Oryzias latipes: one gene and its partners. The protein of the gene in region 1 interacts with the protein of each later gene in a biochemical or structural test. Links are inferred from orthologs where the notes say so. Each region holds a gene or a part of one and is shown in the gene's direction. Other genes may lie near its edges. The genes, in order: ubiquitin-conjugating enzyme E2 R1, pparg, uba1 and rnf7.

Region 1 (7,171 bases):
ATGTTCCTGGTGTTTCTGATTAAATGATCCACATTCATGTCTGCAACCTTCAGCTTTCAATAAAAGAAGGCTTCATGCACTAGGATGGCAGAACTCTTCGGTGACAGTTCACGCCGTCACAGACTGATTCTCCTTCTGCAGAAGTCTAGCAAAAATTCTCATCTCCTGTGTGGTTCTTCTCTTTATTAAGGAAAAAGTCAGAACCCTGACAATTCCCACACAGTAGTAATTACTTCCAACAGAATAATTAAATAGTTCCCAAATATTAATTAGTTCAAACAAAGATGTATATAGAATGAAGAAAATCCGGAAAGGAGATTTTTTTTCCCCCCCTTTTATTTTTGCACAAAGCAGAAGTAGTTACTTGTTGGGTAATCTCTTTTCTGGCTAGCCCTGATTTTGTGGAAAATGAAGCGAATCTTCTCATCTACTTTGTTAGATATGCAAAGTTTCAAGCAGTACTTTAAATTTACTCCAGATACTTTCAAATTTCTGTCTGTTTGTATCTCATACATTGCATGGAAGACACAGAGGATGTTTAGAGATCAGATTGATTTATTTTAGAGAGCTCAACAAAAGCATCGGTAACCACGTTCAGGAGGTCATTCAGAGACTCTCCCAGCATAGTGAGTCTCACTCCCGCTGACATTAAGCCCTTTCCGCCGCTACTTCCGTGTCTCTGTGACCCACATTAGTTCGAGCGGGAAAAAATAAAAACAAGAATCAATCCAGGGGATCTATTTATTATGAAATCATAAGATTTATGAGGCCCGAGCTGACTGCCTCCTCATTCCGCAGCCAGCCAGCCGCCCAGGGGCCGCTCAGCGTAGCGATCCCGTCGCTATGATCAATGGAAGCATCAGTGATGCAGTGGCAACATATCTTTCATTTATATTATTGCTTTAAACAGGTTATTTTATTTACAGTAAATATGTAACCGGAAACATTCATCTTCTTCTTAACCATTTTGTCCTTTTCGGGGTCCCGGGCCTCTGGGGTCATCCTGGACAGGTCTCCAGTCTGTTGCAGGGAAACATTAAAGTTTATTTCCAGTTGAAAGTAAAAGGTCGCAATTATTTTTGAGGGAACAAATTACTATTTCATAAGAAGGAATTTGTATATTTTCTGTCACTCATGTCATGTCACGGGCTCCGTACTAATTCCCGTAGTGTTTATGAGCTAGAATGTTTACTTTTAAAGCTCAAGGCCTTTATGATGATTTAAAGAGTCACTCTGAATATGTATTGTCAATTTCTTCTCAGTGGTTTTTTAATTATGATTCAGATTTTTTTTTTTAATTCTCTTTTGTTGTTTGTTCCCAGGACTATTCTGCTGAGCGTGATCTCGCTGCTGAATGAACCCAACACCTTTTCCCCCGCCAACGTGGACGCCTCTGTCATGTACCGCAAATGGAGAGACAGCAAAGGAAAAGACAGGGAATATGTAGAAATCATCAGGTATGTAGAAATGCAACAAAACGCAGGAAAGAAAACTGTTCAATGGCTGTGTGATTCGCTCAACAGCCTGCAGATAAACAACAGTCTGTATTGCCGGCTTTTTTTGGTTCTTTGGTCACTGCTCAAGTGGAAAGAAGTGAATTTCTTAATTCAATTTTAGGGACAGTACTGATTCAAGGTTTGAGAATATTTACTTGTCTTTTACGTTTTTGTTGCAAACAATGTAGTTTGATGTTTTGCTTTAATGTAAAGAATAAATTAAAACAAAGAAATGGAAATTGTGGTTTCAATTAGATAACTAGAAATGAATTTTAAACATTTATTTTTATCAAAGTTACCATCTTTTTAACTCCTATTTTTTTTTTTTTAGCTTTTTACACTATTTTTTTCTCCCTCAAAATAACTTCATAGAGTTTAAATTCTGGGACTGTACTGGTCACTCCCAATTTTTTTATTTTGACCATGTTCTATTTTTCTGTTTTTAGTTCTGGTAAAGATTTGGCTTCTGTTGAGGACCCTTATCCTGCTGCAAGATCAAATTCTGATTAACTGCTAAAAATAATATATATATAGTGCGGGCCTTTCTAGTGCCCTGAATTTTAAAAACAATTCGGACACCATGCTCACTACTTTCTTTTTTTTAAACGGCAAATATGACGTAATCGATTTCACAAAGTGAAAATCTAATTGATATGAGCGTTTTGCATCAACCATTTAAGAATCCACTGTCTACTGAAGATAAAAATATTGATAATTTATTTGAAAAAATTCAATTAAATACGTTTTTTGGGGCAAAAATTGGATTCGCTATTGAAAAGTAAATGTTAACGCATGAATTTGTCGGTACAGTTTTGATGTTACAGTTGACACAAAAGAACACGATCATATTGCATCAACACCTTTTAATTTAAGTAAATTTCCTGTAGGCATTAAAATACCATCATTGTGGAATCAATGAAGTTCTGTTCTAAAAGGGACCAGCTGAGGTGAGGTTTAGACATCCGGCACAAATGCCATCTGGATGTCTTCTTGTGTCACGCATCCTTGAGTAAGATATGGATCATCAAAAGGAAATCTAGTCCTTCACTGTGTTTCCTAGCTTTCTGTGCGTTTGCCGCGTCCTCACAAATGAAAAATAATCTGTTGTCTCTTCCAGGAAACAGGTGATGGCCACCAAAGCTGAAGCTGAGCGCGATGGTGTGAAAGTTCCCACCACGCTGGCGGAGTACTGCGTCCGCACACGTGCGCCAGCCCCCGACGAGGGCTCGGACCTCTTCTACGACGATTACTATGATGACGACACCATGGAGGGCGGGGATGGCGACTGCTGCTACGACGAGGACGATTCAGGAAACGAGGAGTTGTGACATGCTTTTTGACTGAACGCCCAGTCCGGCTATGCTCCTCCTTTTTCCCTTCCGGGGTAGCGAGATGTTCTAGGTTTAACACCAAGGAAGACTGGAATCTTCCCTTCTCTAAACGGATAAGAGCTTTTTTTCTCGTGCCTCTGTTTTTTTCCCCGTCTCAGAGGTTAAAACAAAAGACTCTGTAAAAATGTGGGACCTGGTAAGATTTGCACCAGCACATACGTTAGCAGTTTCTTCAGTTTGGCCACCTCAGACTTTACCATGAAGGATAGTTAAATGCTCACCAAATCTTTTTCACTCACTGTAGGCTTTAATGGGGTGGAAACTCTCTTAAACATTAGTCAGCCTCTTTTGCATATTTGTTTTTCCTAAATTGTAAGTGAATTTTGATCTCCGTGATGGAAAACGAAGGACTTCAGGCTTGTACTAGGAAAAGCACTGCAGAGATCCAGTATTTTTCACCTTTTACAGCATCCCATTACATGCACCAAGACACAATAAACTTGCCACGTGACAGTATTTTCTAAGTTTCTGTGCATGCCAGAACATCTTTGCAAGCTTTTAGTCTCTTGTAACGGCGGACAGTTTTCCCACCGCATCATGATTTGTCCTAGCAAAAAAACCGCTGCGGCGTTGAAGTGACTCTGTGGCGAAGAAGCAGATGGGCACGTCAGCGGGGTCCATACCACGTGGACATTTTTGATCTTGTGGTTTTTTTCTGGTTTAGTGTTGAATGTGTTTCTCTGTCACTCTGGGTGTGTCTTTTTTTTTTTTTTTTTAAACAACCTCGAATTAAGGGGAGATTGAAAAGTGTTTGAGTTGGTGGGGGATTTGAAATGTTTTTGAGCTCTCGAAGTGTGGGGCCGTTTTTGAAAAAGCAACAATTGTTTTGTTAACTAATCATACTTGGAGTAAAGGTTTGAATCGTAGTCAAAATACTTGATTGCTATTTTAAAGACATCCAGTTGTAAACACAGTATCACTCCGAAACACCTGATGGACCCAAAGAGCTAAAGCAGCATTATAAAGACTCCAAAACCTATGAAAAATGATGTAGTTCTGTTGGTTTGGTTGAAATTCATTATAATTTATTTTTCTTTTAAATTCCTTCATAGTTTACCTGAATGGTGTCACCTGTGAGATTATTAGGTAAAATCATGCACGTAGTCTGATTCTAGATTCTTGACGTTTTTCTGCGCCGCAAATGAAAATGTTAAGAAATAATGATCCTCTTTATTTTAATTTTCTTCTCTGTTTTGTTGGGTGATTCTGGACGGGTGTTGGTGTTTTTCTGAGAGTATGGATGGTGTTTTTTGATTTAGTTTTTTTCCAATCTGCAGTATTGATAACTTTAATGTCTGAAGTAAGTTTAGTAAATAAATTAAATTTCTCAGGATAAAAATTCATTTGAAACAACTGTTGAGGCAAGCAATTAATTTCCAATATGCAGATGTAGCTGTATGAATGATTAAAGTGTTTTATTCACATGTCTCTTTTTTCCCCCCCAGCTATTTAAAATAAAGATTTATTTCAAAGAAACATTCATTGAAGTGCTTGGAATGACTGCACATAACGGAAATCCAATTTTTTGTTGTGCTTTGTTATTTTAAGGAAGTCATTTAAAGTGTTCCAGCTGAAGACAACAGCATTTAGTTTGCTCATGCTATTTAACTTTTGATAATACCTTAAAATTCAATTATAAAGAGTAACTTGAACATGTGTGTTCAAGAGGTTGGAGGGAAATAGGAATTTTGAACTACCAAACATGTCAGTCTTTATCTTTTATTTATTACTTTTTTATTATTTATGTAGATGTAAGAATGCAAAACTCAAACTTATTCATATTCTAAAATAAACTATTTTAAGTCTGTGTCTGTATGGTGTGAATCGTATCAATGATGTTCCCTATGGTTTCTGAATGCATCACATGCCGGCGCACATTGATGTCGTCATCCAAACGCCGCAGTTCAAACCTAAAACTCGGGTTTGGGACTGTTTTTCAAACAGAAAATAACAACAAAGACAACAGTTACCAGAGTCATGTCAGTAAATTATGCTGCCGGATTGTCACCTTACGCAGATAAGGGGGTCTGCGGCCTTCCTGAGGTAAATTTTGACTACATTAAAGAGCTTTTCATGCTAAATGAGCTAGCAGCTCATCATGAGCGATGTTTTTGTCCTGCTGTTGTGATCCTTCTGCTCTTTTATCTAACAAAACACTTGCTAAGGACCAGCCCCTTGTTTGAAAATCTCTCTTTACATTTTTTTTATTCGTTCTAGTGAGTTTAAATTCCAGCTCTGGTTTAACAAGATAATAAATTATATTGTTTCAAATATAGTTATTCTTGTTGGGATGTTGTATCATATATATCCACAAAATTTGATGGGTGCAAAGTTGTTGTTTTCCTTCATAATAGATTTAAAGCAGCCTTTTACTAATCTGTACTAACGTTCAGCTATGGCTTTGTCCGCCGAACGTGTCACATAAATAGATAAAAGCGTGAAGCTATTCATGAATTCATATCTCGGGACCAACAATCTTAGCAACACATGCATGGATGATTGCTTGTGCTCATTCCTAAAAGGACTTGTTTGTGTCTTCTGGCAGAAGTTTGACAGTCCTGAAGAGCTGAAGGAGAAGGTGCAGACTCTTGCTGAGTTGGTTAAAGAATCTCAGTACCTGGTCGTCCACACTGGAGCTGGCATCAGCACCTCAGCCGGCATCCCTGACTTCAGGTGAGACACGATTCTAATGATAATTCTGTTTTTGTACGCCACATTTGGCTGCTAATGCCAACATCAGACAAAGGCAAACATAGGATATGTATTTTATATGACAGGAAGCGCATCTGTTAATCAGAATAATATTGATTCTTTTGCACACAAACAAATCTATCTAAATATCTATATTTTTCTTTGGGAGCATGTCCAACTATTTTACTTGTTTGATCCTAAAATTCCCTAAAAAGTTACATAAACTACATTAAAAAAAAAACTCTAAACATTCATTAAATGAGCCTATTAAAATCATAGTTAAAACATTTTTTAAACTAATTTCTCCACCGAATCGTACATGATGTGTACATAAAAAAAGGTTGATGTTATCCACACACGATTATGTGACAAGCACAAAAAGTTATGGAAATTTATGTTGGCCACACGTAATGCTTGCAGCCAAGATACATAATGGTGCCTTTTAACCCTTGTGCTATCCTAGGCACTTTGACATTGGGAGTTGGGTCATCTAGAGTCTAGACCCACTAGACAGTGCGCTGAACCTTTTTTTCTTCAATGATTTGTGGTCTTCTCCGGTGTCCATGGATTACATGAAATCTTTCCACTTTTATTCACCTTTGTCACGGTAGGGATAACATGTCAATGGTCATCTTGACCCCGTAGGATAGCACAAGGGTTAAGTGCGTCCAAGGTTGCATTTTGTTGTTGGCCCCAGGTGTTTAAAATGAAACTTAAAGTTACAGTCCCATTATCTGTCATGCACCTAGGTGTGTAAAATATGTTCTCTGCCTTTGATCCATCTCCTGGAGGAGCGGTGAGGTGCAAAAACAGCCGCGCTCAGGAGCTATTTGGTGGTTTAACCCAACCCACAACTGTAATCCTAACCTTAACCCCTGTTCTAGGTCTGTGTGGCCAAGAAAAAAAGCCCAGGGCTGGCCGCACTTATTTCGAAAATGACGTGCAAATAGACCCTTTCCAAAATATACACATATAACTGAAGACAGGCTGGAATAGATCAATATTCATGATTAATCTTAACAGACAAACTAGAATGTTAGTAAATAAAAAAACATAAATGAAATTAACATGACACCATTTTTTATTTCCATTTTAGATGACAACAACAACAGCTATGACCATAGTTCCACTGTAACTATTTGATTCGTATCCTAATTTGTGGTTGCTGATTTGATTCATAGTTGATATAGGTTCATTTTAAATAGTCCGATTCACTGACCTAAAATCGATCTTAAGCCAAAAATTCAACCAGTGAGACTCAGAGATAAATACCTGGTACTGAACAGTGCAGGTGAAGTTTTCCAGATTCCTTGTATTTCTTGCAAGATAATCAAGTGTAAATTAAATATGTGTGCAAACAAAGTTCAGCCCACTGTTGTTTATCTACATCAAAATAATACAAACAGAACATTACTAGAACATTCTACTGTATAGTCACATGACATGGCAAAACTCAAAGTGTTTCCATGCATTGAACTGGAATGATGCACTGATCGGTTTTTGCTGCCATCACATGTGTGTTGTCCATGGTGATTACACTTGATCACTTTTTACGGTATAGTAAAATAAACTCACATTTGCCTCAATCCAAAT
Region 2 (8,343 bases), on another chromosome or scaffold:
AGTTTGGAGGTAGATTAATTTGTGTAAGGTGAAGCCGTGATTGCGTAATTAATATTACACAATCACTTACAGCGCAGTAAAGGCGGAATGGAGGTTTAAATGAGAGGGAGCGGTAATTGATGACTTCCACCCACGTGAAGTGGTTTGGCTCTGTCACACCTTAGCATGCGCTTTTCTTTTTGCCTTTTTCTCACCCGGGTCAACCAAGAATCAAGAACAGTTTGAACTTTAATGAAAGAGTCAAAGGGCCTAATTTATGGAAACACAGCTGTCACAAACACTTTTGGTTTCAAAAAATAGAAAACCTCTCAAGATCAAACAGACAAATCTTTTTTTTTATATACAATCATTGACTATGATTATGTTTTAACTAAAATCTATTCAATCCATCTATTTGGTATGTAGTTTCAGGAAAACCAAAGTCCATCTTCTATAAATGAATGGCAGTCTGACTGTCTTGTGTAGTTTTGGCCACTTGTGTCATATGCAAGACCTGTAAACAGAGAGCTTTCAATGAGCTGTGAAAGTATTGCTGCCAACATGTTGAAGAGGTGAATGAAATCTACTAGTGCGTCACGAGACACACCTAAAAAAAACGGCATTTTTCACGTGGTCCTGACAGTGGAAATATTCTGCAGGTGAATAGCTTTGGCAGTGAGGCTGGTTTGCAGAGGCTCGCAGGGTCTTTGCCTCATCCGTCTGCTCATTGACTGCAAGGTGCAGCCTCCAAACATGCAAGGATCAGACGCGTCTGCACGGCAACTCAACGCCTTTCTTTAATTTGGAATTCTGTACGAAACAGTGCACAGAAATTAAAGACACGTTTGAGCCAATGCAGTATATTTTTGATTTAGACCACGAACTAAACATTTCTTTGTTTTCCTAAAAAGTAGCGATTAGCGATCATTTTTTTGTTAAGGCCGTGTCACACAGCCATTATGTACATTTTGCGTACGTTTTTCAACGAAAGACATTTCAGTCTTTCGTGATACATGCATGATACATGTAATTCATGAGTGTTTCTTGCGTTCCTTGTTCGTCAATGTGCGCAGATGTCGATCGCAGCTCTTTTATGTAAATTCAGTTTGGAGCTGTTCAAAATTTTTTGCCGGTTGAGGATTGCTCAGTGTACGTTTATTTTATGTAGTTTATGTGCAATTATTACGTAAATCATACACAGTTGTGCGTAATTTTTGCTAGATGTATACGCAAATTTGTGGCTTTCCACAGCCGTTCAGCGAATGACTACGAGACAACCACTATGTTTTGACCACAAATTGTGTTTTTTTCATTTTGTAAAACTTTTGTTTAATTCCTGCTAATTTCATACAAACATTGGTTTTCAAGCATTTTGTATTAAAATATTTTCTTGATTAGGAATTAAATAATTCAATAATGGATTAAAAAATGATGCATGATTCTTCTTACCAAAACTAAATGAAAACAATTAAAATAGTTTCCTTGAGGCTTAAAGACCCACTGCAATTAAAAAAAAAAGGAATTTGGTGTTTTTAACATGTTCTTGTGGCATTATAGTAATAATGGAAGGCTAATATAGAGAAATTTACGCTAAAAATTGTATTTCTGACTATTTCTTTATTCAAATCGTTGTGAATCCGGAGCAGATGAAAAAACACCATTAGAAAATGGGCTTATTTGCTGTTTTCCTCGTCTGTGCTGGCATCTGGCTCAAAACTGTACAGCTGGATAGCTCCAGCATAGTACGCCATTTTTGTTGCATCGGTATGGTTAGGTTGTGAGTGGCTGTAAGCTAGTGGGAGAGCATGAAAAAAGATGGAAGAGGGGAAGGGGGCAGGCTTACTCTACGCCAACAACAGTCTTTTTAATGAACTCCTGCTGCTCTGCAGAAACTATGTCCTAGAAAACAACACAGTTTTTTAGTTTTAGTTTATAATACTGGAACAACTGGGAAAATTTTTACAATAGATCAAAAGATGATCAGACTATTTAAGGAAGGTGTTTATTGGAATAATCTGAAATAAATTGGAACTGAACTGGCACTTTATACATAAACCACTTGGTACTTTCTGAACTGGTTGCTTCCACAGGAGTGTTTCTTATTATCAGACTTTGCAACTATGTGCAGTGTAATGAAGCCGTGCACCTCATTGTAGTATTAAGATAACTCATGAAAGGAAGTAGGGAGTAAATAAAGTTTTGTCTTCTGTAAATTTGTCAAAAATCTGGTCTTTAAGAGATGTTTCTGTAAACATCTCTATTTCCTTTCCCAGCCATCCGTTTTGGCCGAATGCCCCAAGCAGAAAAGGAGAAGCTGCTGGCCGAGTTCTCATCTGACATGGAGCACATGCACCCAGAGGCAGCAGATCTGAGGGCTCTGGCTCGACATCTGTACGAGGCCTATCTGAAATACTTCCCCCTCACCAAGGCCAAGGCCAGGGCCATCCTTTCTGGGAAATCCGGAGACAACGTGGTAGGACGAAACACTTCAGTTTCACTTTTTGTCATCATGTAGCCAACAGTAAAAAAAAAAAAAAATTATAATTTAAGGCAAAGGATTTCAGAGTTTGTTAAATGATTCATAGGAAAAGAGAGCTTTAATATTGGACCTAACTTGATGTTGAGTCGTCAGTTAAAGTTGTAACACCTCCTATCTGCACATTTCTCTACGTGTTCTGTTTATTTTGTATCTTTAGCCCCATGTGAGCAGTCAGACCTGTTGTGCTTTCCTGTCAGGTTTTTTTACTTCTATTATTGGGCAAAAAAGTTCTCTACTGAAAAATCAGATAAAGAGCTTTAAAGTCCCATTCCAAAGAACATTGTGTTTTTGAGTTATTTTTAACATGTTCTTGTAGCATTTTTCCCATGATGGAGGACAAATATGAAGATCATTAAGAGGAAAACTGCATTTCTAAGTAAATCAGGAGCAGACCAAAAAAAAAACAAAAAGCTGTTTGAAAAAGCTTGTAGCTGTTGCGTATAAAAACTACAGTCAGCAGGCAAAGCTTCCTGCTCCGCTCCATTTTGATGCATCCATTTATAGGCAACTAGATCCATGTACCTCTTTGTTTTCCTTGTCTGAGCTGACATCTGGCTCATAACTGTTTGGCTGGATAGCTCTAAAATGCTAATGTTAGCTGGGGGGGGGGGGGGGGGGGGGGGGGGGGGCTGTAAGCTAGCAGGAGAATTTGTAGACAAAGGGATTGTGGGAAATGAGTGCAGGCTTGCGTTGCACCAAAACACCTAAGAGGTGAATTTCTTATGAACTCCTGCCGCTCTGCAGAAACCGTGTCCTAGAAAACAACACCAAATTTAAAAAACGACACAATCCTAAGTAAAAACACTTTTACAATAGATGATTGAAGTGGAGCTTTAAATGTTCCCCTCAGTATGGAAGCAAATAAAGGGGTCACTGCTGTTTGGTCTTTTTTTTGTTTGTTTGTTTGTTTAAAATTTATAAAAATTATACATTAATATGATTGCTTTGCAGCAAAATTTTAGTGATTGGTTTCATTTTTGGTTATTGGATTTTTTTTAAACGGTTCCTTAGCTTTTCGAAGATTTTGACTAATTTGTTAGACTTTTATCATAATCAGTCAAAAATAAAATATACATCACTAAATATTACCATTAAATGTTTGCACTATAGTTTATTTGGCCTTCAGAGAGTCATTCTTCACATTTCTAGAATACATATTTCAAAAATAGAAATTTTGTAGCAGATTTATGTGGAAGTATTTAAATTCAGCAACGTGGCGCAAGTTTTTTAACTTTTATTACTTTTTGAGAATTGTATTTTCTCACTTCTGCTTTGAAGGATAATTAATCATTTGGATAGTTTTAAGTCAAAATCCTGCAGATAAAAAGTATGCTGCAAAATAAAAAAAATCTAGGGATAACATCTTAGACAATTGTTTAATGTCATTGTGCCATCATCAGCTTGTATTTTTGTAGACTTTCTAGAATTGACTGACACCGACATGAACTGATTCTTATATGATGTATTTTAAAAGAAAGAAAATATTTTAAAAGAAAAGAAAAAGTAGATTATTTGTTCATTATATGGCATTTTTAGTTCAATTTAAAACATCTTCATTAAACTTTTGGACATTTTTGTAATAAAAACTAATAATGGTAAAGTCTTGTCATCATAGTTTTATTATTGAATGATAGAAGCACCTTCTGTGCTCAAGGCTGCTGCGCATTACTTTGGTCTGCTTGTTATGACTGTTCAGACAGCGGTGGCAGACAGTTGACGCCGAATCATCTCTTTGTTTGAGCCACTCCTGAGTTATTTACTAAACCACAGCAGACCTCCTAAAACAAAACTAGGAGTCAATCATTTTAGCTTTCGTTGAATATTTACATTTCCGAACATGCGAGGCCTTGATATGAGTTGAAGTTTAATCAGTCTGTAACTCCTGCAGTTCTCCACAAAAACTGACTGAAAAGGGAGATGACTACAGCTCATTAAATACTATAGATATTTTTGCCATCAACTGTTGTAGGAAGATCATAAAAGGCCACAGTAAACAACATTATTGCACTTAAAATTTTTATTTCTCAAAGAAAAAGATCAAAGTTGTAAAGAGTGTCTTGTAAATCAGTTTTATGTTCTTCTTTTAATCAAAATATTGCAGATCACAATCATACATAAAGAGACTTTCTTCACAGGCTGTCGACATGGATGAGCCCACAAAGTTTCACAGGCAGAGCACAATTTCATGAAAATGAAAGAATTGTTTATTTCACACACCGGGTCGAAATACCGGCTGTAAACTGCAGTTGGGCTTTCCCTTATTAATTTTCTTTTTGAAGAATTGAGACTTAATGAATCTTTCAGGCCGGAGCACGTCTTTTTCGGTTTTTCATTTTAGCCTGAGCTAAATCGGTTAAGCTTAATTTACAAAGAAGTGATGTTTTCATTTGCCTCAGCAGCAGAGGCTTTTTTACGGTTTTCCCATTGCACACATTTGTAATGTGAGCTCCTGTAAGCCTGATTAATGAGCCAAGACTATTATTTCTGTGACTCACGGGTCCTCAAAAGACCTCGTTCACGCCAATTCATATTTCTTTTTACTTTTCTCACCATGGTCTCTCAAATTTGTGGTCTTTTTGCAGCCTTTTGTCATCCATGACATTAAGTCTCTTATGGAAGGAGAGCAGTTAATCAACAATGGGCAGACATCTTTTCAGGAGCAGCAGATTGCCACAGCTGGACATGGAGGTTGGTAGATACTTTGAAGATATTTGTTTTAAGTTTACAAATGAAGGCATGTGGCGTATACTTATATAGCGCTTTTGTACCTACAAGGCCCAAAGCGCTTTACAGTTACAGACCCAGTCACACACACATTCACACACTGGTGGCGACTCTGCTGCCGAACACTGGCGCCAACCTCCCACTAGAGGCAAGGTAGGGTTCAGTGTCTTGCCCAAGGACACTTTGACACAAGGCGGGAATCGAACATGCAATAATACGATCATGAGTTGACCGCCCTACCGCTGCACCACGGCCGCCCATGTGGTTTATCTTACTATCTTTCTTGATAGTCTGTGCAAATTTGATTAATCTACCCAAGATTTATAATCCTAAAACAAGCTATAAAATCTTATTGATCTTAATTTTAGATATTTACACAAATAAACAAAAAGATGTCTAAGACTGATTGTTTTAAGAAAATATGTTTCCTTTCTTATTTAGTTTTTAAATCTAAAAATGAGTCCTTTAACATGCAAAAGAAGGAAAAAGAATTGCAGGCAAGATTTTAAGGACAAAGAAAATGTCCTACTTTGAGAATATTTACATTGCCACTGTTTGTAATTTCTTGGAATATGTATTTTACAAACATCTTATCTGATTCCAAAAGACATTTTCAATTAGCATAAAATTAAATAAAATATGTGGTTATTCTTGTATTTAAAATATTTTGCCGCATTTTATTTATATTTGTGATTTTGTTGTTTCCCAGCATGCCATGAAAGTTGTCAATGTGCTGCCTCAAGCTTTTGATCTGCTGATGTAATTAAGCAAATTTGGGTTTTCTTTATCTCATAATTAAAATGAATGATTTTGCTTTTGAATTTTTTTTTGCTGTAAAACACCATAAATAGTAGTTTTTGTGTGGTTAGTTAAAACTTAGAGGGAGATCAACGCTCAATACACTTCTTAACAGCTAAGAGATCTAATATGGGACCCCCTTGTATTTAATTTTTGAGAAGACTTGGATAAGGATACATAGTTACTATACACATATTTTTGATCCCGCATTTTTTGTCCATTTTTTTCTGGTTCCAGTTTCTGGAATCGCTGGAGCCCTCTCAAGTCCAGATTGTAATGTTTTCGGGATGGCCAGCAACATTGGATCAGAACCACCGGATGGCGTGGAGCTTCGTTTCTTCTACAGCTGCCAGTCACGCTCAGCAGAAGCAGTGAGGGAAGTGACAGAGTTCGCCAAAAGCATCCCGGGATTTGTTAACCTGGACCTCAACGATCAAGTGAGACAGTCGCTCTTAATTACTAGCTCTGACTTTGCTTGAATGTCGAAGGATTGCTTTCATGTCAGAAGTAAAATCTGTTTATTAAGTATTACTTTTACGTGCTGGACAAAGTGAAAATCTAAAGAAGTAAACTTTAAATTGTGCTTACATAGAAAAAAAGTGAATAACTATAAAACTACTCGTACTTCCCAATCTAGGATAAATAATCTTGTTTGGTTGGATGAGAATTTGTTCTATGTCATTTTTCTAGGTAACTTTACTGAAATATGGAGTAATTGAAGTCCTGATCCTGATGATGTCTCCTCTGATGAACAAAGATGGCACCCTGATCTCTTATGGACAGATTTTCATGACGCGGGAGTTCCTCAAAAGTCTCAGGAAACCTTTTTGTCAAATGTTGGAACCAAAGTTTGACTTTTCCGTGAAGTTTAACACTCTGGAGCTGGACGACAGCGACATGGCGCTCTTTCTGGCTGTTATTATCCTCAGTGGGGGTGAGTATGTTCTCCGTAGGACATTTCATATAAGTAGCTTTCTGCTTGCACCTTCTTTGGTGTGGGCAGGGAGCTGTTGACTTCGACGGAGGTGGAAGGAATACTTTGAGGATCTCCTGAACCCTGTTAGGTTTGGTAACTTTGGGATGGGGCTGTCCGTCACCCAAGCTAAAGTCACTGAGGGAGTTGAACAGCTCCATGACTGAAGAGCTTCCTAAGTTCCTCAAGTGCTGTAGATGCTGTAGGACTGTCTTTACTGACAGCTCTCTGCAGCTTTGAGTGGCCAATAGGGACAGTACCTCTGGACTGGCAGATAGGGAGGGTTCCCAGTGCATGGAGGACTCCGGCAAGGCTGTCCTCTATCACCGGTTCTGTTCATTATTGTTACGGATAGAATTTCTAGGCGCAGCCGGGAACCAGGGGGGGTCTGGTTTGGGGATCACAGGACTTCCTCTCTGCTATTTGCAGGTGATCCAAGACCTCCATCATGCATCGGGGTGGTTTACAGCAGAGTATGAAGCAGCTTGGATGAGGGTCAGCACAAGTCTGCCAAGTCTGAGGGCATGGTTTTCATAAAGGGAAAGGTAGTTGTCCCTCTCCTGGTGGGTGAGGTGCTCCCACCTCAGGTGGAGGAGTTTGAGGCTCAATCCGAGTTCTTCCCCTACCCGTCTGGTTTCTCCCCACCCATACATTTAGCTCTCCAAACGGGGAGTTATGGAAAAATGGTGTCACTTCTACAACTCGATGACGTCATCAATAGTCACAGATGGGCTATGTTAGCTGCCAGTGCTCAGAAAATACACAACAACATCAGTTTTATAACTTTATAACTTCCTCGGCAGGGTGGCTGGGTGCCCCCTTAGAGATAGGGTGAAAAGCTCAGTCATCCAGCGCTCGGAGCAGAGCCTCTGCTTCTCCACATCGAGAAGAGCCAGCTGAGGTGGCTCAGGCATCTGTTGTGGATGCCTCCTGGGCGCCTCCCTGGGCATGTGCCACTGGGTGAAGATCCCTGGGAGGACCCAGAATATGATTAAGAGACTACATCTCTTGTCCCCTTGGAGGTGCTGGAGGAAGTGACAGTGGATGGATGGATGGATGGATGGATGGATGGATGGATGGATGGATGGATGGATGGATGGATGGATGGATGGATGGATGGATGGATGGATGGATGGATGGATGGATGGATGGATGGATGGAAAATTCTCTGTGGTGTGTAAAATGTTAAATATATGTGGCCGAGTGTGGTAGAGCTGGTATTTAGCAACTACTGCTCCAGTCTGTATTTGTCAATCCCCCCTCCTCCCCCGCTATGCATTTTTCTGCTCCAACACCCCTCATTTAGGCTTTCAGCAAAAACCTGATAGTG
Region 3 (8,343 bases), on another chromosome or scaffold:
AGATTTTCTAATGAGATGCTTGAATGTTGATGTTTTAAGTATTTAAACCTCAAAAATAATTACAAAGAAAAGAGTAAACGAAATAGAAAAAATGTCCAAAACACAATTAACTTTAAGTAAAATATTTGCCCCTTGAGGGAATACTGAACCATTTCAGTCTTTTAAAGCTTGTAAATGAAAGTGCTGTCCCCGCAGGCAACTATAGTTAATCTAAACCGTAGATGTAGTGGTGAACAGTGAAGTCTTTTGTGAAAGCTAGACACTCTTCCTCCCTTGAACCTATTGGTCCATCTGCAAGTATAATGTTTTTAAAGCTGTGGTGTCCCAGAGGTTTTGCCCAGTTGCCAAATGGCATTTGTTTTTGTGCTAAAACACTGAAGGGGAATGTAAGAATGATAAAACAACCACTAAAAGCTAAACTCAGTCCTTCTGCAGACTAAAATGTACATCATACATGGCAAAGAAAACATTCCTTCCTATCAAAAATGTTAGTGTTTACAAGAAAAAGAACGTCATGGTTATGGAGCTTTAACTTGTATACATTAATTTCACTCTGCAAGACCTTGAGAACGATACCCGTAGCCCAAACTAAAACATGCCCGCACTGTACGAGAAAACACCATGTGTAAGCACACCACAACCACAGCTAAGGAGATTTTGCTTCTGTCCCTGCTTGCAGTTGACCATGAACTACATTTCAGACCATATTTGTGTACATAAATGTGAAACATGATGGTATCTCAGTGGTTTGATGACGTTAGGGTCAAAGTTAGAATACAGTTGGTTCTCTAGAACTTAACTTCAATTCAGCAGAGAGATTTCTTTAACTGGAACTCAAATTTAATCTACCACAGTGTCATGAGGTCCATAAAAACTCTGATGTATTAAACTATAAAGAATGGGGGGGGGAGCAAAGCATTATTTAGTTTAAGAATGTTTTATGGAATTCAATACTTCATGTATTTGTTTTTTCTGATTCCTGCAGAGATCCTAAGTTCATGGAGCGTACACTGAAGCTTCCTGGGGCTCAGCCACTGGAAGTACTGGATGCAGTTTACAAGTGCGTTGTCACAGACTGTCCACACAGCTGGGCTGACTGCGTAGCTTGGGCGCGCAACCACTGGCAGTGCCAGTACAGCAACAACATCCGTCAGCTATTGCACAACTTCCCCCCTGATCAGGTAAACGCCCCTGTTGTGGGCACTTTTAATTTTATTCACAGATGGTAGGAAATGGAAGAACATTTCTACACTATGAGGTTTTTTTTGTCTTGATATTTTCATGTCCTATTTAAACCACAGCCATCCAAATGAAAATTGTGTTGTTGTTTAACGTGTTCTTGTAGCATGTTTGTCATGGTGAAGGACGTATATGAAGAAAATTAAGCTTAAAACTGCATTCCTGAGTTTTTCCTTATTTAAATTGTAGTGAATCATGAGCAGATTAACAATTGCTATTTGAAAAAGCTCGCAGTTGTTCCATACAAAATACAGTCGGCAGGCCACAAGTTCCCTCCCATTCTGATGCAGACAAATGTCCTCATTTTCCTCAGCTGGCGTCTGGCGCAAAACTGTATGGCTGGATAGCTCTAAAAAGCGCCCACATTTTTTTATTTTTTTTAATTAAAATATAACCATTACAAAACTCTTGGAGACACAACCACACAATGATGCAAGGCACTGCTTTTCACAAAAACAAAGAACAAAAGAAAACAAAAATTTATACATATATAAAAAAATATTAAAAACAACTTTCAGCATAAATTAAAATAAAAGGCAAACAACAATCTGGACCCTAGATCTTTAACCATTCTGTGGCAGAATTACATATGTCATCAATGAAAGGACTTGAGTTGTGAATACATTTCAATGAGGATAAATAAAGTCTGACTTAATAAAGCGCCCCCATTTTGTTGCACTGGTAATGTTAGGTTGGGGTTGTGAGAGGTTGTAAGCTAGCAGGAGAGGGTGTAAACAAAGGGTTGATGGGAAATGAGTCAGGCTCACTCCGCGTCAACAGCCCTGTCCGCAGCTTAGAGGTGAATTTCTACTGAACTCCTGCCGCTCTGCAGAAACTGCCCTAGAAAACAACCGTTTTCTTGATTTTTGTCTAAAAACCGCATAATCGGACTGAAAAAATATCTGGAAATGCTTTTACAGGGACTTCTTTTTATATTTTCTTGTTTTTCTGTTTACATTTTACTTCATGAAGTTGCACCCAATCTAAACATTGAGCTCCTAAACTTTTTCAGATGTATCTTGAGTCCCATATGTCTAAAGAAGATATTTGTCTTGCAGCTCACCAGCTCAGGTGCACCTTTCTGGTCTGGCCCAAAGAGGTGTCCTCATCCCCTAGAATTCAGCACTAGCAATGTAAATATGCGCTTTTCACCGTCTTCAAAAGTATTCCTCCTCAAAAAAAGATTCAAATTATTAACATTTAGCCTTTGTCTCCAGGACTTGCACATGGATTATGTTTTGGCAGCTGCTAACCTGTTTGCGCAGATGTATGGTCTGCCAGGTAGCACCGACCGTGCAGGACTGGTCAAGATTTTGCAAGAGGTCAAGGTGCCCACTTTTACCCCCCGTTCTGGGGTTAAAATTCACGTCTCAGACCAGGAGCTGCAATCGAGCAACTCTTCTGTTGGTAAGACCGTATTTATGCACAAGACAGCATTGAAAATCTTTCAGAAATGTTTGTGTATAATTGTCTTTGCTGAAGGCCTATTGTGACATGGATCTCTTTAATGCAGATGACTCTAAACTGGAAGAACTAAAAACCAAATTGCCGTCACCAGAGTCTTTCCAGTTCAAATTAAACCCCATCGAGTTTGAAAAGGTACTCAATTTCTTTCACGTCAGACATAATCAGTCTTTCTTTGATCGTCATGTTACAAATGTTTGTCATTTCTAAAAAAAAATGTAAAAAGTAATTCTGTATATTTTTTTGTTGTCATCAAAATAATACAGGAACGTAGAAGTAAAAATCGATTTACTAGATGAATGAAACGTGAATGTCATTATTAGTTTGTATGTCGTAATAACGTGATTCTCTATGCAAATGAACCCCGTTGTGTGTTTGTATTTAGAAAATGTCATTCTATTTATCACTAAATTACCCCCTTTTACTTGCTACAGCCTCATTTATTTTGTAGTGTAGGAAGAACATGGATCACCCGAGAAGAAATGTTTTAAAAATGGTTTTATTTCTGCCCCTCCAGGATGATGACACCAACTTCCACATGGACTTTATTGTGGCCGCATCCAACCTTAGAGCAGAGAACTATGACATTCCGCCTGCAGACAGACACAAGGTGGGCTAAACATTCACATGACCTCATTTGGCCAACTAACAAGGGCGTCTTTTTGTTTTTTTGATTCTCGCATAGCAAAACCTCTGGGCAGAAATACTTTAAGTTTTTTTCCCCTGTTCTTTCTCTTTCAATAATGTATCTGTCTGAATTTTTCTGGACTGGTGAAGGGAGGAGTCATTCGGTCATCTTCTAATTTGTTTATTCCCTTTTGTGGTCACGGCGATGCCAGAGCCTATCCCGCCACTTGCGGGTGAAGGCTGGGGACATTCTGGACAGGTCGCCAGTCTGTCGCAGGGCCCCAATCACACCCATGCACTCTCACATTCACACTTATGTGAGAGACAATTTAGAGTAACCAATTAACCTTGGAAGGAGTGATTGTGACATATAAAACGTCCTCAAACTTGGTCTGTATGTTTTTTATAAATTAGAAATGTTAAGCAAACCAAAGTGAGTGTTTTTCATTCATTGTTTAACCTCCGTTCATTAGCTGATCGATTGTGAATTTCTCTTTTGGTTTACTGTTCTTTCCAGAGCAAACTGATTGCCGGCAAGATCATTCCTGCCATTGCCACCACCACCGCTGCAGTTGTTGGCCTGGTCTGCCTGGAGCTCATCAAGGTCGTGCAAGGACACAAGAAGCTTGAGACGTACAAGAATGGTTTCATGAACTTAGCCCTGCCTTTCTTTGCCTACTCTGAGCCCATTGCTGCTCCAAAACATAAGGTGAGGTGTTGCTGTTTTATCCCACAAGTTTGTAAAGATTATAAAACGTGTGACGATTGTGACACAGTGATAAAGTTTTAGTCTGCTTCTGGCTCCTGTGATGATTCAGCCATGCTAATACTGATGCATCAGTCAGCTGCATTAACTCTGACTGGATGCAAGTGAGTTCAACTCACCTTCTCACACTGGTGTGATCAGTGTGTGCTGAGGAGACGTGTTTACCAAATATGCGCTTATAGCATTGTTGCAGCTCTGTGTGATGTCTATTTTTTTTACCTACAGTAGCTGTAACTTTATTTTTCATTTATTTCCAGTACTATGAAACTGAATGGAGTCTGTGGGATCGCTTTGAAGTAACAGGAATGCAGGCCAACGGTGAAGAGATGACACTCCGCCAGTTTCTGGATTACTTTAAAGTATGTTCAGCAAATTTAGGTGCTTCTTCTCCAACTTTTTTTGTTTTTGCAATGAGTAACTTTGTTTTTTCTCCCCTGTTTGGCAGAACGAGCATCAGCTGGAGATCACCATGCTTTCTCAGGGAGTGTCCATGCTCTATTCATTTTTCATGCCCGCTGCCAAGCTTAAAGAGAGGCTTGACCTACCGTAAGTAACTGCATACGCGAGAGTCCAGCCTCTTTACGTTTTCCTTCCACAAACTGAGTTTTTCCTGTTCTGATTTCTGCAGGATGACTGAGATTGTGACCAAGGTGTCCAAAAAGAAGCTGGGCAAGCACGTTAAAGCTCTGGTGTTCGAGCTCTGCTGTAACGATACTTCAGATGAAGATGTGGAAGTGCCCTACGTCAGATACACCATTCGCTGAGCCTCACCCGGAGACCACCCACAGGAGGGTGGTAGTTGCTAGGGGGGGATGCAAGGAATGGGGGTGTTCTTAGTGGGGAAATAGTGGTGTGACAAAGGGTGGGTGGATTGATCCAGATCGGCTCTATTGGATCAATTGGTTTCCTTTTTTAGGCCCGTGGTTTGTTTAAACCTGTGCCTGACTGTACATAGCCCCAGTAAGCTGACAGAAGGATACCTGTCTGTGTGTTACAGTTCCACTCTGTGCTTGACTGTGGGAAGAGGAGATTTGTTGGAGAGAGGGAGGGAGCATGTAAATTGGACATCCTAATGTTTTTCTGTAGTAGAACCTTTAAACTTCAAAAGCCTCGGTGCCCTCATTGCAAAGCCCAACTAGTCTGTATGTACAATAACACCTAACTATCATTCTGAAGCAGAGCTTTCAAACACACCCTGCTTGCTCTCCTCTCTTCTGGAGCCCATTTCTAATAGATCTGTCCCCTCATACTGTTACTTTTTAATACATGATTTTTTTTTTTTAAATCAAGGCTATTCAACAACGTAAAAACCCAATTCTCCCTTTATTTTTTGTTCCTCAACTGGAAATGGAATTACAGCATCAAACTGATGAATTTCCTTCCCTTCCTTCACTTTGAAGCACCCTCAAAGCCTCGTTTCAGCACTCTGGCTTTCTTCAGGCTGCTGCACACCACAATAGTTTTCTCTTGATGCTCTCCATGTCATGTGTTTTGTTCCATTTTATTTTATTTTCTGGGAGGGGGGGGTGTTTGGAAGGAGTTTTGGCACACAGTTGGTAGATCATCAAACTGTCTTTCTACTTTGTTAACTCCAAAATTAATTAAATCTAAGAGCGAAGCGTTGAGATGTATCTTGAATGGGAGCACTTAGTGTTATAGTGAATAAACATGGAAAAACTCGCCTGTGTGTCTGTCTTTTCTTTTCAGTTGATTCAGTAAAAATGTGTGACGTTGATTTTAATTATGTGTGTTGTCTGCTTTGGTTATTGAGTCTAGTCTGGTTTATGCTGCTCAGCAGTGAAGTGGAGCATCACATGCAGGAAATAAGCTTCACCAGCTAAAAGACTGGTTGACTATTTACTGTGGAAAAAATGTCTGTAGGTTATGTGATATTTAAGTTTTCTAAAACTAGATCAGTTGGTAACCACAGTCTAATATGACACTCTACGTCAAATATTATTTCACTTCAGCAATTTACAATTTTTCCACAACAAATTTTTGTGAACATTTGGAGGAGAAATGAGATTTCGGTGATGAGCTTAGCGTGAAGCTTGAGCACTCCTCCCTGAGAAGAGCGGATATGCGAGTTCTGTGCAACCCCTAAAGGATGTGGTAAGCTGTAAGATGAGGAAGAAAGTGAAGAGGAAGGAGTGTGTTGAGCTTTTAACACCCCGAATGCAAACAGGTTGCGTTCGGGCCTGCACAGAAACTACCTCAAATCTGGATTATTGCCACTCGTGTTCAAAATGTCCAGTGATATTGTGAAGATGCTTTGAAGAAACTAACATGGAAGTGGAGGCGACTGATGAATCGAGGACTTCCTGGTACGATCAACTTTTTTTCCTTCTGTGTTCCATCTGTTAATTGATAAAACAGGGTGACTTGAGTTTTTTGGGTAATTTTATTTATTTTTTTAGTCTATACTTGCTGCATCATCAGTGAACCAGTTTCTTGTTGTATAATCACAAACTAATTTAGGGTGAAATGAGATCTTTTAGATTATTTTAAATCTTTTTGATTGAATAATTTTATTTTTCTTTGGGAACCTTTTTTCCTTTTTAGGTCTGACATGTCAGGCGACAGTCACACATTTGTTTGTGATCATGCTGGGGTAAGAATCTGCCTTTATTCATTCATTTGAGTTATAAATTAAAAGGGGGGGAAAAAGCTGATCATATTTTTTTCTTTCAGAAAAAGAGAAAACAAGATCCCGAAGCTGTGATAAGAATCATTGAGGTGAGAAATAAGCCGAGCAGCTTCCTATCATAATCGTCTCTGTTTCTCAGTAAGAGGCGGAAGTTAGTCAACTTTACCTTTGTGACCACAATGCTGACTGCTGAACTGACAAAGAAATGCGCATTGTGTTCAGCAGAACTTTTTTTTTTTTTTTTAAATATAAAACCCACTTTGAGCTTTTGTGGTCTGTCCACTTTATTGTCTTGCGTCATATTTGCTTTCCTTAAAAATCCCTATTTGACCAACTGCATTTCACCACTGCTGCACTGCAAATGTGGAGGTTAAAAGGCAGTCATTTTTATTGTTTAACTACAGAGGCACGCTTTGAACCTTCTTCCTCTTCGAAAGACTCACACAGGAAATGAGAAGGCTGCACCATGCAACATTTTAACCCTCTCAACATTGCCTTCTCTCTGTTTTCCTCAACTTTTTCCACTCCATTTTTTTTCTAACTCAGTCCCAATTATGACTTCCAATAGGATGAAGAGGAAGAAGAGGAGGAGGAAATGTCACCTGACCACATGAAAGATTCAGAGGTCAGTTGCAGCTCTTGGAGATTTTATATTTATGTTGTTTATGTTTTTTTTGAGCTGCTTAAGCTCAGTTCATGTGGTTTTCAGGAGCCCAGTAATAAACGAGTCAAACCTGTGGGGAAATCAAACAGCCTCACGGGCGTCCTACCCCAAATGAAGACGCCGGCTCTGAAACGCTTAAGTCAGTCTATTTCAGTAAGGATGCTCAGATACACCCATGCTTTTACCACTTACATTTCCGTTCAGACAGTCAACACCATCTTTTCTTTTCACAGCGATCTATTAGCTTTCGTACAGATGCTCGACCTCTGCCCCCGGCTCTCCCCCGTTCTCGCCAGAAACCCTCTTCGTTTCCACGTCGGCGCAACAGCCAGTGCTGGAGCGACACAGTGGAGAGCCACGACCTCACAGCCAAGGAAATCAAACGCCAAGAGGTGTGAGGCACGGTCGTTTTCTAGTTCAGCTGCAGAAACCAGAAGAATTTCTGAAACCGCTGTGGAATATGTGCTTAAAAACAGAGTATGATGTGCCCTGCACCTTCTCTTCATTTCTCTGAAGCTGCTTCGCAGTGGGGTATTGTGAAAGAGGATGTGAGCTGGCACTAGAGGCTCTACTTCCTTTGCCAAACCATCAGCTGTGAAAAGCTGATGCTGGCTGTGTACACCATTAACCTCTTATGCAACTCCATACGTGTTTTGACTTGTCTGAGTGGCTGTTTGCAGTCATGGAACGGTTTACTTCTCTGCAGGTGATTTATGAGCTGACTCAGGGAGAAAGGCAGCTTATAGAGGACCTCAGTTTAGTGAAAAAGGTACTTGTACATCATATTGCTGCACCTGTGTTGCTAAACATGGAAACACTTGCACGTTGCAGTCTTTAAACTTTCCCTCACACATATTCATCTGTATATGACCTTGGTGTCAGGTGTACTATGATCCCATGCTGAAGTTGGACATCATGTCTGAGAGTGAGCTTGGA
Region 4 (8,178 bases), on another chromosome or scaffold:
GTAAGTATGTTCAGACTAGATAACTGATTGTGATATGATAAAACATATTTGTCACCAACATTTGGTTTACAAATGAGAGTTTCTGAGCAGCAAGGCTCAGGATTTACACATTTAAAATGTTCAATTGCTTACAAGGATGTTCCACAGAGGAAACACTGTTAGATATTCCCAAATTCCATCATTCTGGATGCTGTTATTACCCATGGAGACCCTATGGGATAAGGGGGATGGTGTTACTTTCAGTGTATAGAATTTACAGGGTACAACTCTGGATCCAGTCAGTCCTCCTAACCGGACTCTGCCGGTTCTAGATCTGACAGCTGGAGTTTCACATCAAGGATATTATGTTTAAACACGTAACCTGAGTTTAAGTTTCATAGTGCAAGACATTTATTTGTCATTGTGGACAGTTAACTCCACGTAGCTCAGTGTGAAAATAAACACAGGTTGTTGATTCCCCCCTTTTCTCAAGTGCATAAAAGACAGTCTGACAAATGCACTGCAAACTATTTCAAACCTTGTTTTTAAACATCCATTTTACTAGGTTTTTAGTTGTTTTAACTTCTCTTTGCTCTAAACTTTTCCAAGCTTTTCTCAAAATTAGCACGCTGGAGAATGTTTTGTGTCATTAAGAGTTGGAATTTAGAAATTATTATTAAAATGAGTCAAAATCAAATTTTTGCTTCATACTCCTAACAATAGAAAAACATGATTTAGGACAAAAAAATAAATAAAATCGTACTGGAATTTTTGGTTCAATTTTAAAGGTGTTATTTTCAAGTTCAATAATGGTAAAAATGCATTTGTTATCATTACTTTGGAAAGAAAAAAACAGATTTGTGTCATAAGAGTAAACGCTTGTTTTAGATTTTAAAAGGGCCAACTTGCTTTAAGATGATATTCAAATTTTGTTTAAAAAAGAGTCATTTCCACTTATTACACTAGTTTATTGTCACTGTTATTAAAAATAAACAACAATTAAGTCAATAAAATCTTAAAGAATACAAACCATCTGCTTATAACTCACAAAACAATACTTCTATTTGGGCTGTATAGCCAATTTGAAGTAATTCTATCAAACAGCTGTTTTTCCATTTTTGAAGGCTTCTTCAAAATGGAATACTTCTTCTTTTTAGATGTTGATCTTTTATTATAGTATGTAATGTTAATTAAAGATGACTTTCTGCATGGACAGGTAATTTTGTTTCTTTTGTAGTGATTTTTCAATAAGAGTATTGTTGTTTTCGTATTTTTTTCAATTTGGTCCTTTCTGCTCCAGACTTTTCAATTGAAGAAGGATTTTTCAGACTGGTGGAAAAAATGGTAATCCAGATATGCAGCTAAAGTGTGAATTAGTTTAATAAAAAAGGAAGAAAGAGGTTTGCAACCTTCATATTGACATTTTAAGTTTTACATTCCTCAGGGGTTGGTTTTCTTCCAGCCTTTTTTGCTGCATAACTTTGTTACACCAGAATGTGAAAACATGTAATCGACTCCACAAAAGCTATTTCAGTTCATTATTGGATTCATGCGTGACTCTGGTTAGTGATCACCTGCAGTTCTCACCTCAACACAACAATATTACTTTTGAATTTTGCATGAAATATTTGCAGAAAATGTGCATCTGAAATGCCATGTTACTGAGAATATTTTTGTTAGCGTTTATGTTTGCATCACATGCAAATTCTTATTTTTGCTGAAAAGCAATTTAAAAAAAATCAATTTAAACACATTTCCTTACTTAACTCAGATCTTGTCAAAGATATTACCACTCATTCTTTGCAAATGTGCATTCTTGTTGTTAAAAAGTCCTAAAAATATTAAAGTATTGTTTGAGCAAATGTTTAAAATTAAGTCATTGTGTCATAAATATTACTGAACGAATTCTCACAATTTTCAGCTGAGCCTTCATCGTCATGAATGGATGAAATAGAAATGCCTTCTGGGTAAATCTTTCTTTCAGAAGCCTCTTTCAGCTGACAGCTTACCTGTTGTTTTGCTGAGAAACACAGAAGTTTGTAACTTTCCAGCCGCTGCTTGAATCCTTGCAGTCATGACAGAAGCAGTGGATGAAATGAAGACGAGCCACACCTCTCCCTCAGGCAGCGTCCGTCTCCTGAACCACAGCTCTGATGAGGGTTCAATGCTGGGAATCTGTGTGAGTGCTGACTACAACCACTGAGTGTTGCAGGGCAGCGTTAAGTGATCCTGCCTCTGCTGCATTCAAGGAATGATGGAAACACCAGACTTCCCTCTTTTCTTTTCTTTTTTCTACAGAGGGACACAAAAAATTGGGCAGTTATGTTTCTGTGGCACTAAAGTGCAAAACGGACAATCGGGAAAAGCAGTTGGACTCTTAACCAGATGACATTTAAAGCCCTTTTAAATGTCATTTTTAAAGAAGATTGTATTTATGATGTAGCTCCCTGGTCCACTCCAGTCTGTTGCATCCACTTGTAGATGACTAGATCCATGTATGTCTTTGTTTTCCTAGTCTGAGCTGATATCTAGCTCAAAACTGTACTATGTTCTGGAAAACGACACGTTTTTTTGCTTTAAAAAGCGTCACTGGGAATGATTTGAAAAAAGATCAAAAGATGAGTGGGACTTTAAATGATTTGATCCTGAGGTGGATTCTCTTTCCTGTTTCTCGACGAGACTCATCAAGAGATGCAAAATGTAGACATGGCAAAAGAATCGCAACAAAGTTAACTCAGACTAAAGTCTGACAGAAAAATTAAAAGGAACCCTTAAGAATGTGGGAAACAAAATTGATTTACGGGTAAAAGTGAGTCATTTATTCCAAAAAAACTGAACACATATTTGTCCAAAGGATAAAACACTGCATATTACTCATGAAAACATTGTCTCTCTCTGTGGATGCTGATGTTCTGTTTGGACTTCCTGACCTAAACGATTTCTCAGCAAACACTTTGGCTCCTCTTTCATTAAGACACTTTTCCAGTTAAGAGTGCTGCTTTGTGATGCAACAGATGGTCTGTGAACTCACAACACACTTGAGGATCCAGCTGCTGTGAAAAGATAGGAGCCGCCAGCCAAATTAAACTTTCAGAAGCTTGTCCTAAAGAATCAGAGTTCGTTTCAGACTCCAGAGGCGTCGCCATGATGTTCTGTGCCTGTTTCTGTTTCATCTGATGAAGACTGACAGTTTCCTTTGTGGATCTCTAAACAGAAACACGTTTAAGGACAAAGCAGCTTCGAAATGGAAGGCTTTGAAGGAAGCAACGCTCCTCTGAACTTACTGTTGACCGTCCATCCTGAGAAATGGACTCCTTTAACAAAAATGACAAAAGCAAAGCATTGATGTCATTCTAGAAAAAAAAAGTATTTTATGATAGTAAATTTGATATCTGTATAAAAGAATTTCTGTGTATAGCTGGAAATTTGTTTGGTTGTGTTTAAATACATCTGATGAAATGAGGTAGCATTTATTTTTATTTTTTTATTGTCTTGTATACTATAATTTATGTTAAATAGGTAATAAATATTAAGGTGTTGTTAGACAGCAGCATTAAAGAGAAAACTTTATATTGTGTTTTTTCCTAAATTATAATACTACACTGTAGTTAATTATATTAATGGCTTGTTTTTTATATAAACATACAAATTAGATGTTCATCTTTATATGAAGCATGTTTACATAACAAATGATGTATATTTTTTACATAAGCTGGTGTGTTAAAATGTCATTTAATAAAATAGCTAATGAAACCTTTCCTGACTGATTACATTTTAGATTTTTCTTTGTCCATATCTTCAGTGGAGCATTCCTTAATAATGAGTAGTTTATATGCTACAGATTACAGTTTCAAGACAAAATTAGTTTTTAAAATTAAGACATTACATTTTTTATTGAAATATAAAGCATGTTAGATGTTTTTATATAATTTCCTAAAATACAATAAATTGTCTTGAAGCATATTTTAAAAAAATTGCATACACTATAAAACAGGTGCAAACTTCAAGATGGTTTCTTCTTTTTACTAAAAATAGAGAAACAGCGCCCTCTGCCGTCGCTGTGAGAACAAGCATCCAGCTTGTTTAGCTAAGCTAACGTGGGAGCTGCAGAGATGGACGACGGGGACGAGCCGGGTTTGGTGCTTTCTCACACCTCTTCGGGATCCAAGACGGGGAGTGACAAGATGTTTTCCCTGAAGAAATGGAACGCTGTGGCCATGTGGAGCTGGGACGTGGAATGCGACACGTGTGCGATTTGTCGGGTACAAGTAATGGGTAAGTGTTTGACAGCTAGCTTGGGACGCATACCCGGCTAACCCGTGCTAGCTTAGCTAACACGGACGTGTTTGGTGGATGTAGGCTGCTTGGTGCTTTAACTTTATTTCTGACACTTTTACAGACGCGTGCCTCCGATGTCAGGCGGAGAACAAACAGGAAGACTGTGTCGGTAAGACGCCCCGAGCTCTAAAAGTTGCATCAACAGCACAATCGGTTAACCGGATATGCTAAAGAGCGTTATCATCAACCCTGCGTCCCACCACAATAAAAGCTCAGGCGCGCAGCTTTCACGATATTGAAAGAAAAAAGTTATTATTATTATTTTATGTAAAATACAACAAAAGAACATAGAACAATAACAGTGAGAATGCCAGAGTTTGGCACATACACTACAAAACACATTGTAATACATTAAAAACATCCAACCATAGACAGCTTTCTTAATGTTTTTGTAGTTTTCTTACATTGGCAACAAAATAAACACTGAAAACAAAAAAACTGTTTTGTGATTTTTTTAAATTTACCAAATAGCCTGTAATAAAGAGATGAATTGCCACTTTTATGTTCAAGTTCATGTTTTTTAATAATTTGAATAAAGCAATCGTTCGTTATACATGTCCTCCATCATCAAAAAACAAAAAAAATCACAAGAACATGATAAGAACGCCAAAAACGTGATTTTCATTGGAGGTGGTCTTTAATAGTTTGAGACACAATCAAACGAACTTTAATGTTCTTCCCTTCTTCATGTGAAGATTTCTCTATAATCTGTCACAGAAGTCCTGCTGTGTTTGTGAAAATAAGAGTACTAATGAAAACGTACATGTTTCATACAATATATTGTCTTTGAACATGTTTGTCATTCAGTTTTTAACCTGTTTGTCTGCCTCCATCTTCCAGTTGTTTGGGGGGAGTGCAACCACTCCTTCCACAACTGCTGCATGTCCCTCTGGGTGAAGCAGAACAACCGTTGCCCCCTCTGCCAACAAGACTGGGTGGTGCAGAGAATCGGCAAATGAGGACTGAGCCCGTGTTTTCTTCAGAGCCGTCCCGGCCTTCTCCTGTGCCGTCTTCCTGCTCGCCATCGCATGTTTCCTGTAGTCACAGCGTAAAAGGAGGGCGGGGAACAAAAACGCGTACAGATCAGCTGCTCTACCCCTTTAGAAGCCTCATGGAGGGATGGATGACAATTTACAGTGTTTGACATTTAAGATTAACTTTGATGTATGTTGCGATGTTTGGCACAAGAAGTGGTTTTTATTTTAGAAATAAAAGAATTGTGAAAGCTGCAGGTCTGTTTTCATTTGAATAGTTTCCATTAATCCTATATAACCATTTGCATCATATTTTATACATGCCTTCCTGAGACCCCAATATTATTAACATGATCCAAACTTTCTTTAAAAACCATTGGTCCATGTTTTCTGTCCTGTAATTCATCATCATTCCACTAGGGGCAGTAGAATGACTTTTCCTGCTGATTTCAAAATGGCTGTTTCCATGAAATCTCAAAAACACTTGACGGGAAACGTTTAGCTAATTTTCTAAATTTTATGCTGAGAATAACTCATCTATTGTTTTACACTTTTCTAAATGACTACTGAAAAAACACACAAGTCTTTGATAATTAACTTTTTATAACACATTGACCCAATGTGGTCACATTTACCCATGGGTCAAATGTGAGAGTGGATAAATAAGGTGATTTTATTTTCCCCTAAACACTAATTTTTTTTTCCCTAAGAACTAATGTCAATTTTTTTGCATCTTAAAATTACATTGTTGTGAGATAAAACTTACCAAAACACCCGACATACCGTAATTGATTATATCTATATCATTACAACATGATTTGGCTGTATTTTTATACATGTAAAAAACAAAATTTCTGTCAGTTCCTTGATGTTGTAGCCTTTATGAGGTTAAACAAAAAGATTTTAGTTCTGAGATTTACTAGTGAAACAGGAATTTGTGCATGAAATGGTCTGTAGTCTTTGGCGGTTAGGTTCTGGGCGGGAGACTTCTTGCATACTTGGGATGACCTCGGACCGTGTGAGAAGAGACCCCAGAGCCTGGACGCTGATGGTGATTAACCTTTGGGCTATCCTAGGCACTTTAACATTGAGAGTTGGGTCATATAGACCCACTAGACAGTGCTCTGAACCTTTTTTCTTCAATGATTTGTGAACCTCACTGGTGTCCATGGATTACATGAAATCTTTCCACCTTTATCCACCTTTATCATGGTAGGAATAACACGTAAGTAAGGGTTGGGTCATATAAGATAGCACAAGGGTTAAGCCCCAGACCGCTCCGAATCAAAGAGCCAGGAGGAGAACAGGGCGGAGGTGGGCCGGTGAAGTGTCTAGAATGCAGATAAACTAACTTCCATGAATTCAAAGGCAGGAATTTGATTGTGATTGGCTGTGAAGAAAGTGAGCATTTTAGCTATTGGCTAAGACTGAAGACTAACTGATGAGTGGCATGTAGTATGAAGAACTTGGTGTACCAGAAGATGAGATAGCTCTCCCGTATTGAAATTGCGCCATGGCTTCACATGGTTGTAAGTGGGTGTATCAGAATGGAGAAGAGCAGGGAGCTTGTGCATGTCTCAAAAAGCTTTTTTTTAAACTGCATTTTTGGTCTGCTCCTGATTCACAACTATTTGAATAAAGAAAAACTCAGAAATGCAATTTTAAGCTTGATTTTCTTTATATATGTCCTCTATCATCAGAAAAAAGGCCAAAATAAGATGTTAAAAACACCAAAACCACCATTTTCATCAGTGGTTCTTTAATGTTAATGCGCAGATAAACTCACTAATGAGAGTAATTTGATTGGGAAGAGGCTGCACTCTGTGCTGTGAGCGCTGGATCACATAGAGCTTAAGCTGGTGTTCTTACACCACTAAGCAGCACGACATTAACCCAACAAAACCAGGAAAATCTTAGAAGTGGGTTCATTTTGTTCTTTGTGTATTTTTAGTTTTAGATGAGTTCATTGTGTTTTCTGCCTTTGCTTGTGCACACAAAACGCACAAACTTGGAGAATTGAGAGAGGAAGAATTACCGGCGTAATTGACTTAGTCATGAGGCTAATGATGGCTGGACTGATTGTCCTTGTTTGACATGTGAGCTTTTATGCCATAAAGCTGTTTCAGGCAAATCCACCAAGCAAATCCATCCATTTATGCTCTTCTGTAGCCACCTTTCACCAAAACCTGGAGTAACCCTTGTGCTATCCTAGACACTTTAACATTGGGAGTGGGGTCATCTAGACCCACTAGACCAGAGGTGGGCACTGAGGGCCGCAGTCCTGCATGTTTTCCAGCATACCCTGCTCTGGCATGTTCTGATTGGCTGGACACACCTGAACCAGGTAATCAGCCATGAGTAGGGGAAGAGTATCTGGAAATCATGCAGACACACCGGCCCTCGAGGCCTGGACTTGCCCACCCCTGCACTAGACAGTGCGCTGAACCTTTTTTCTTCAATGATTTGTGATCTTCACTGGTGTCCATGGATTACATGAAATCTTTCCACTTTCATCCACCTTTGTCATGGTAGGGAGAACACATCAATGTGAGGGTGGGGTCATCTAAGATAGCACAAGGGTTAAGAAAAGAAACGTTTAGTTTTAACTAGACAAAACTCCCTCAGCTTCTGAGCTTCTAAGTGTGTAGGTTTGATCAAGTGTAGGTGCGTTTAAAAAAAGTTGTTCTTGCTTTAACTTTTCAGGTATGGCCTGCCACTTTGTTAGCTGCTGTCCAATCACAGCACGGCTCCCTGTGTCTTCTAAGAATAGATTGGCCCAAAGCCTCTTAACCACAGACCACATAAGTTGCTTTCCCTGCGTGCCCATCTTTGCACAAACGTGCAAAGGCACTTAGCAGGAGCCAAATCCCTGAGCGGCGTGTGGACA

Evidence for each region.
Region 2: the proteins of ubiquitin-conjugating enzyme E2 R1 (region 1) and pparg form a complex in vitro, tested with the Homo sapiens proteins (2 studies listed by BioGRID). The link is inferred for Oryzias latipes from reciprocal best matches to the Homo sapiens genes CDC34 and PPARG.
Region 3: of the proteins of ubiquitin-conjugating enzyme E2 R1 (region 1) and uba1, one has a biochemical effect on the other in vitro, tested with the Homo sapiens proteins (7 studies listed by BioGRID, with this or other methods). The link is inferred for Oryzias latipes from reciprocal best matches to the Homo sapiens genes CDC34 and UBA1.
Region 4: the proteins of ubiquitin-conjugating enzyme E2 R1 (region 1) and rnf7 form a complex in vitro, tested with the Homo sapiens proteins (5 studies listed by BioGRID). The link is inferred for Oryzias latipes from reciprocal best matches to the Homo sapiens genes CDC34 and RNF7.

What each region holds. Positions count from the first base shown.
Region 1 is NC_019875.2:22,334,670-22,341,840, forward strand, and holds the end of ubiquitin-conjugating enzyme E2 R1, read left to right. Parts: intron 1-1,322; coding exon 1,323-1,457; intron 1,458-2,613; coding exon 2,614-2,824; 3' UTR 2,825-4,363; downstream 4,364-7,171. Other genes in the region: sirt6 (NAD-dependent protein deacetylase sirtuin-6), read left to right, coding at 4,865-4,930, 5,433-5,560. UniProt on the Homo sapiens protein: E2 ubiquitin-conjugating enzyme that accepts ubiquitin from an E1 ubiquitin-activating protein, and catalyzes its covalent attachment to other proteins by an E3 ubiquitin-protein ligase complex. In vitro catalyzes 'Lys-48'-linked polyubiquitination.
Region 2 is NC_019863.2:9,209,950-9,218,292, reverse strand, and holds part of pparg (peroxisome proliferator-activated receptor gamma), read left to right. Parts: intron 1-2,252; coding exon 2,253-2,452; intron 2,453-5,100; coding exon 5,101-5,206; intron 5,207-6,277; coding exon 6,278-6,477; intron 6,478-6,730; coding exon 6,731-6,974; intron 6,975-8,343. UniProt on the Homo sapiens protein: Nuclear receptor that binds peroxisome proliferators such as hypolipidemic drugs and fatty acids.
Region 3 is NC_019865.2:13,787,977-13,796,319, forward strand, and holds the end of uba1 (ubiquitin-like modifier-activating enzyme 1), read left to right. Parts: intron 1-985; coding exon 986-1,181; intron 1,182-2,297; coding exon 2,298-2,372; intron 2,373-2,456; coding exon 2,457-2,646; intron 2,647-2,752; coding exon 2,753-2,838; intron 2,839-3,220; coding exon 3,221-3,313; intron 3,314-3,847; coding exon 3,848-4,039; intron 4,040-4,131; exon of another isoform or gene 4,132-4,252; intron 4,253-4,353; coding exon 4,354-4,455; intron 4,456-4,541; coding exon 4,542-4,642; intron 4,643-4,724; coding exon 4,725-4,860; 3' UTR 4,861-5,777; downstream 5,778-8,343. Other genes in the region: rho guanine nucleotide exchange factor 3, read left to right, coding at 6,383-6,420, 6,659-6,707, 6,788-6,832, 7,312-7,368, 7,453-7,560, 7,641-7,799, 8,114-8,176, 8,290-8,343. UniProt on the Homo sapiens protein: Catalyzes the first step in ubiquitin conjugation to mark cellular proteins for degradation through the ubiquitin-proteasome system.
Region 4 is NC_019871.2:22,562,679-22,570,856, reverse strand, and holds rnf7 (RING-box protein 2), read left to right. Parts: upstream 1-4,033; 5' UTR 4,034-4,091; coding exon 4,092-4,254; intron 4,255-4,378; coding exon 4,379-4,426; intron 4,427-5,157; coding exon 5,158-5,276; 3' UTR 5,277-5,547; downstream 5,548-8,178. Other genes in the region: transmembrane protein 255B-like, read right to left, coding at 1,989-2,055. UniProt on the Homo sapiens protein: Catalytic component of multiple cullin-5-RING E3 ubiquitin-protein ligase complexes (ECS complexes), which mediate the ubiquitination and subsequent proteasomal degradation of target proteins.